2 linked regions of the Schizosaccharomyces pombe genome follow. The protein of the gene in region 2 purifies or fractionates together with the protein of the main gene of each other region. This does not show direct contact. Each region holds a gene or a part of one and is shown on either strand. Other genes may lie near its edges.

Region 1 (3,570 bases), 3.2 Mb from region 2:
CTTAGTCGTAATGAACCCAAATCATCATAAGTGATATCTTCTGGTAATAATTCGTGAAGCGTTTCTACAAATTTAAATTCATTATTCCCAATATTTTTGATAATTAGAGAATTATCATTTCCATTCGACATAGAGCTATAATTAATTTAGTTATGGTAATTGCTAACCCTTGATTCCAAAGTGTTATGTAATACAGCGCAGTATAGAACTCGAAGCTTTTTTTTTGGCAATTTTAAAGAAGAAAATTTCGTATAGTTAGGTACAAGTTTTCGACGGCGAAGGGATATACGAAACCATATAGCGGGTGGTTGATGGTGAGAGGAAGTTAGGTTGGCTTGAATAGCAAGTAGGAGGACATTGAGGTTTAGAACTGATAACTTTGTAAAAACTTTTTGAATATATATGTACCATGATGTTGAATTTTAGATAAGTTTTAACTTCACTAACTTGAACTTTACCGGCGCAGAGCCTTCCTTCTTAGGAAATGTCCATATTCCAATGATGAATTTCTGTTTACGATCGGAATAACTACGTGAAATGCAAAAAGAAAATAAACGATGTCATTTATGAATTTATGTTTAGTTAATACGTATAGCTTAGCTTCGACAAGTGCCGCACAAAATTTCATACTGAGAGATGTATTTGTATAAAGTAATGTATTAAGTACAAAACAAAGCGTATATCTACCAGAGTGAGAAAACGGCTTCAAGAAGTGCATATAACTAGAAAAATGCTAAAAATTTTAACATCGACTAGTATAATGAACAGTAAATCTTGAAGGAAAAAAGAAAAGGAAGATTGAGCTAAATAATGGGCATGGGAATTGCAAGGACATAAATGCAACGTATACAGCGAGTACTAGGCACATACTAGTACGAGCAAATGCATCATATAACAGACAGATGAAGCTTCTAATAATTCATTGTAGGATGCAATAATGCAAAAGTGCGTGGTATTCTCATAGCAATAACGTATATGTTCCCAGACTTAAGGATTCCTTTATGTGTTGAAACAAAGGAAGCGTTAAAATTCATAGGATCGATCATGAGATGAATGGTAACAACAAATGCTACCATAGTTACTTTTGTGACACACCTAGGCCAGCAAAATAAACAACCAAAACGTTGTAATACACTAACTAATGTTTTTCAAAATCATAGACGAAAAAAAAAGTAAAGGACAATAGCCGAGGTTAAGTTGGTAAAGAGATTGTCCAAATTGCGATGGAGAGTGGTTATAAAGAAGAACTAAAAGGGTGGAAACCCCAGCAAGGATATTTTGATTTTTTTAAGGCTTACAAATATTCCACAGAAATTCCAACCCTTCTACTTGGAAGAAATGACACGAGAGAATTCTTCGTAGTTGATTACACCATCGCCATCGGTGTCGGCTTCACGTATCATATCGGCTACTTCTTCTTGAGACAAACGTTCACCAAGACTTGTAAGCACATGAGTCAACTCCTCGACTGTAATGTATCCATTTCCATCTTTATCGAAGACTTTAAAGGCTTCGCGAACTTCCTCTTCGTTGTCGGTATCCTTCATTTTTCGGGCCATCATAGTCAAAAATTCGGTAAAATCAATTGTGCCATTACCATCGGCATCGACCTCATTAATCATATCTTGTAATTCGGCGGCAGTAGGCGATTGACCTAACGATCTCATAACTACACCCAATTCATTGGACGTGATATTTCCATCCTGATCACGATCAAACAGTGAAAAGGCTTCACGGAATTCTGCAATCTGCTCATCTGTAAGGTTACGGGTAGTCTGTAATAATGTACGATACGGTAGACGACTTCAGAAATCATTTTCTGAGTGTCATCCGTTCATACGATTGTTAGTCAATCTTCAAAGGAAAAATCGGAATATGTCCAAACAATATAATAAACATACCATTTTCTGGTAAAAATCAGTAACTCTAAAGTCCTTCTATTCCTTTTTTTAACCTTTATTTTTGGCGGTTAGTGTTTTGCTCTAGTTACGTTAAAGTGCCTTGGAGAAATGAGGACTACCGTTGTCGCTTCCTAATGTTGCAAGTCCTACCATCAACAGTGATGTCAACAAACAATGAGAGTTTATTACATTATCGTATATGCTCTAACAAACCAGTAACGTACTTGCTATAAACCGCACTAAAACCACTAAACGGCGGATGAAGGAACTTTTTCAATGTCAGCTACGCATTTATTGGTATCTATTTAACGACACCTAGAACTGCCGTGTGGTTTACTTGTGACCTATTGTATTATGGTACACAGGTAAATACATTTAGTAACTTAGAATGATATTCTGATATAGAGGTTATATTGTTACCTATCACCGAATTAGCATAAAAGTGAATAGAGAAACGAGGTTTTGTTTATTTCAATTCATAAAATTTAAGCATTCTATTATTTTTTTTGTTATTCATTTTATAACTCTTAGTAATCTACCTAAGTAACTTATCATGTACAGCTTGACAGAGCAAATCAAACATGTGATAATTAGTGATACACAACGTAGTATGCTATAGCGCAACGGAACGTTGTCGACATTCAACTTATATATCGTACTCGATGTTTAAATCGCAAAAGGATTTAACAAAAAATATTTGTAAATGCAGTATTTGGAAATGGTTATTACAGCGCAATTTTTTGCTGAATGTAAACAGAAAATCGTGTTTTTCACTTTCCTCTATGAGGTTGAGTTAGTGATATTATTATTCATGATATGAAAATATTGTTTTCATTTTGATTTATGGAAAATTAATTATTGAGCAGATTTACAAACACTGTCACGGTTTAAAGTCTCCAAATAATTGAGCAAAATGACATAGCTTTGAAAAATTTGCTAAACAAAAGCATTTTTGATAAGTGCAGTTCATTAAAAGGTTTTTTTGCACGTTTATTATGAATTGCATTTTTGTTGTGTAGCATAATCTGCTTTTGTATTTTTTGTATATGCCAATTTTGATCTGATAATTTTTCTAGTTGAACACTCAAATGAAGAAGGAAAACTGAAAAAGTAAATAACAATATATTATTCAAGCAGGATTTCATTGCCTGTATATATTTCGATATTAATTCTTTTCTAAATGATTTATTCAATGTATAAAAATCCAGAACCTCAACATCTGATACAATGACCGTAGCCGAATTTATTGATTTTAGTCTGAACGGATATTTTAATCGAATAAACAATATTTGTTGTTATTGATGTAACACAAAAAAAAATAAAAAAATAAATTCAAATTGAGCATTTTTTTGTCTTTAATAATCATAAATTTAGACGTCTTTTGTTTTTAAAGATTTTATAGTTTATTCTCATAATTTTAAATTTTTGCACTTCCTGTTTAAAGACATCTCTACAGAATGACCATGAAAATTTGAGTATAATTCCTTAAAAGATTCAAATTTATAAATCTCAATTGATTTAATAAAATGCTGTGAAATGGGAAGTTTAACTTTTAATAATTCGAGGTACTCATATCCTTCATAGAAAAAAAATAAAAAAATAAAAATAAAAATAAACATATAAAAAATAAAATAATAAGAATGATCGAGAATTTAAAGTATTTATTGTT
Region 2 (3,967 bases):
TACTCAAATAATTTCGTAATGACGTTTTCCTAGGAGAATCAGCAAACGATGGTTTCTCTGAATGAATATCTATAGCTTTGCAAGAATCATTTATCTTCATATCATAGGAAGGTACTCGTAAAGAGCCAGAGACAGAAGGACAACCAAATGAAGTAGAAAGACTAGATGATGAGAGTATTCCAGAGTTGGGATATAATTGAATAGGATTAAGAAGCGTATCGGAACATTGCGCAATTGACGGTCGCATTAATGGAGCTAGTAGATATAAAAAACGTCGAGCTATTGGTGCTTTGCTAGACTGTAATAACACTTTAAAAGTAACATCATCTTTTTGGCGTTCCAAACAGAATTTTCGAGTAGCTGTTAGTAAATTGCTAAACAAGCACTTCTGGGCTGGAGATTTACACAAGTCGGTTAACAATCGCATGTTTTCCACCCATTTGCTGCCACTAAATACTGAAGGCTTAATCAATGGTGCCGAAAACCCAGTTTTCAGTAACAATATGCATTTGTGGAAACTCTTAGCTGTAATCAAATCTTTGCTAAGAGCATATGGTCCGAAACCTACTTTTGAGGATGAAGACTGAATTAATGGAATTCCTGTATCATTTTTGTTATCCCCCCCACTGCTAAGTGAAACAAACAAAAGATTGCGAATTCGTTCATCTATTTCTTTCTGCAAAGAAAGCGTAAAATTTGATAGCATAGTATAATAAGTACTGACAGGATGAACAATTTCGTCATATTCATAAGGTACAGTAATGATAAGAGCTAAAGCATACGAAGCTGGACGAGTGCGAGTATCGCTAAAAAGTGAAGGTGAAGAAAGCAGAAAATTAGAATTCGTGTTTTTGATGGATTGAGGAATAGTAATAAACGGAGGACTATTTAACCTGTTTCCTTTCTTTACGTTTTTTAAATCCTTTATTGATGTTGAGTTTGAAGGAAGAAGAAAACCACAATTATTGGAATCAGGCTTTTCTGAGGTATTGTTTGAAATTGCAGGCAAAATTTGTTGGGAGGAAAGAGGGGAATGCCCCCTGTTACACCGGAGCGAATTTTTAGATCGAAAAGGATCCTTAGCAGCTGTATGTAAGGCACAGCGACTTTCCAGTTGCTCATGCAAAGGTGTTAAAAAGGAAGAACTTGTATTCGAACGAGCTTTTTGACTGCTTAAAGTAGAATCTTTCATGTTTTTAGAAGAAGAAGATAAATTTGCTGCATTCTCAGGGATAGCGCTATCATTAAAAGACTTTAATAATGGACTGTCTTCTTTATTCGATTCAAAGGCATCGCTTGAGTTGGGTTTATTAGGGTCTTCAGAAAAGTTCGAACTACTATTTTCAAATAATGAAGTAGCAGATGCAATCGTTTCGTGACTAGAATTGACTACTGTACCATGTGTGTTGATTTGAAATAATTGAGTAAGCATATAAGACCTTGTGGCAGGATTAGGGGGATGAAGAATATGCAACTTTGTGGTAGTTCCTTTATGGGAGATAGGAATTGCTCCAAACATCAGATCAGTAAGTGGAGCATTTGCCGAGTCCCTAAGCACACTATCTCCTTTCTGACCATCCACATGATTAGAGTCAAACAAAACAGTTTTTTTTCGGTCTCCGATGTCTTGAACGAGGACAAGACGAAACGTTACATCCTTAGTACTTTGATATTGTTTGTCCAAACCATGAAGAAGCTCATAGGATTCTTTCGGCGATGAGTTTCTATTTGATGAAGATCCTGAATGAAATAAAAAATGAAGCATCTAAGAACGCATTACGCGGTAACTAATTTCTACAGGTTCAGTCTTTATGCTATGCTTCTACACAGAAAACAAAGCTTTGAATTGCAAAATTAAAAAAGGATGCTTAGAAATAACAGTAGCATGTACTGAAACTTCACTCTTACGTTAGTTTGACATTCCCCAGCAGCAGTTTCTCACTGGCGTTGGTTAGGTAGACAGAAGCTAGTAACGGTATAACTAACTCACACCAATTTTCTAATAACTAGGGTTATGGTTACGAAATCTATCTCAAGTATTGTTTAGATATTTAGAAAATACATGTATATACATTTTTTACAAAATACATTTAACAATCTATTAGGCATTTGCATATTCGATGCATGAAATATTAACAGTTACATTTGGAAGAAAGAGCAACTTCTGTTGGACGCATTTTTGGAACACTCAAGAGTCTTATTTTGTATACGATCCGAACGATCATGCAAAGGTTAATGTAAACACCAATTTCCGTGTACTGAAAAAGCGTGATCCAGAAGCTATTGTTACGGTTCCTCGTGAGTGCATATATGATACTCCAATTGAGTTTGGAAATACTAGAAAAAACTGGTTAGAGGAGTTAAATGAGTCATCAGGAGGAAAAGGTACAGCATGGGATGGTAAACTCACGCAGATTATGCAGACTCCAGTCGATGTGCATCCGTACCAAGAAGCACTTTGGAGTCGAGATGAGATCCATGAGGGAAACGCAATAGAATCAGAATATGAACTTCCTTCTATTCGTCCAAAAAGCGTTAAATATTGGTCAGATTTCAATCGGTTATTTTTAGATACTGAGTATTTATTTCCAGTAAACTGTTCGGAACTGAATTCATCGGACTTTTCATTTCAACTCGGTGTAGAAAGGTTTCATGATTTTGATAAGCAATTCAATGTATGGGATGAAGGATTGAGGCCGCTTGTTGAAGAATGTGATAGCGTCCAAGGGTTTCAAGCAGCAATAGACATAGACACTCCGTGGGGTGGATTTGCGAGCGAATACATGAAAGTAGTTCAAGATGAGCTAGGAGAATGTCGTGTTCCCACTTGGGTCTATGGGATTCGAGAGCCGATTCAGTCAGATTCATCCGCAACTATTGATAATCATTTCGGAAAACTAAATGAAGCACTTTCGTTATCTCAGCTCAACGGATCTTGTTCTCAGTACTTCCCTTTGTGTACAATATCACAAGGTGATGACCTTTGGGCTTCCTCCGCAAAAATTAATTTGGCTATTGAGTCCTTTACATTGCCCACAAGGGTTTACGGGTCTTCCTGCTACAGAATGAAAGATATCGAATCAAAGCTACAATCAGAAGGAAGAGGTTTTATCCATAATTTGAACTTTAAAGCAAAAAATTACTCGTCTAAAGAATGGGCACTAGTGAGTAGTGCCTCCTTTGTTAATGTTGCTCAAGATTACAGTCAGCAAAACAATTGTTTATTTGGAGTCGTACGCAGCCCCAAAGATAATCAAGGATTACTAGAAGGAAAAAATTATAACGCAAGTAGCATATCGAAAATAGTAAACATACAAAATTTAGGATTGCCGAGCTTAGAGACAGTTCCAGAAGGGTTGCGCACATTGGATACTGTTTTTGTGGAAGCTACGAATGACGGTCAAATTAATTCACACATTCAAGGTCTTACAAAATCTTTGAATCGTCGCTTTGTTTCATTTGTTGATCAAGATGAACTTGAAGAAATAAGAGAAATATTATCTTCATATATTATTTAGAAATCAAGGAATACGTTGGGCGAATAGTTCAAAGTATGAAATTTCCAAATACTTTTACAGTCCAATGATTACTTGAGAAAATTTCTAATAAGCTTGACTAAATGAGCTTTTCCCTCATTATCAGCTGTTTGCAACGAAGTAGTCGAAAGTTCATTACCTAATGTCTAATAATTAATGTCATTCAATCATGTAACTATTAAGAAAGAAAACAGTATCCTTTTTTTTTGCATTGGCTTTAGAATTTCCTCTCCAAGATTTTTAACATTATTCTTCTTGAATTAAGGACATGACCATACTATTATCCGTTAGTACATTATAAAAAATAGTGCCGCTAAAACAACAAGAGCATTTGCTCCAAAGAATAGCGAAAACTTACCAGTAAAGTAAAGTAAAAAACATTATAAGATAAAAGGTAACTTTAATAAAGTTGTCACGTTTATGGCGACCCA

What was found. Proteins that work in one complex are often made in the same cells at the same time.
Region 1: the proteins of fnp1 (region 2) and cam1 purify together in Schizosaccharomyces pombe (co-purification; one study listed by BioGRID). This does not show direct contact.

The regions. Positions count from the first base shown.
Region 1 is NC_003424.3:1,443,264-1,446,833, reverse strand, and holds cam1 (calmodulin Cam1), read right to left. Parts: upstream 1,985-3,570; 5' UTR 1,905-1,984; coding exon 1,902-1,904; intron 1,776-1,901; coding exon 1,326-1,775; 3' UTR 501-1,325; downstream 1-500. Other genes in the region: GARP complex subunit Vps53, read right to left, coding at 1-131. UniProt on the Schizosaccharomyces pombe protein: Calmodulin mediates the control of a large number of enzymes, ion channels and other proteins by Ca(2+). Among the enzymes to be stimulated by the calmodulin-Ca(2+) complex are a number of protein kinases and phosphatases.
Region 2 is NC_003424.3:4,640,293-4,644,259, reverse strand, and holds the start of fnp1 (folliculin complex subunit fnp1), read right to left. Parts: upstream 1,954-3,967; 5' UTR 1,766-1,953; coding exon 1-1,765. Other genes in the region: GTPase dml1, read left to right, coding at 2,121-3,518; cornichon family protein Erv14, read right to left, coding at 3,783-3,813, 3,895-3,967.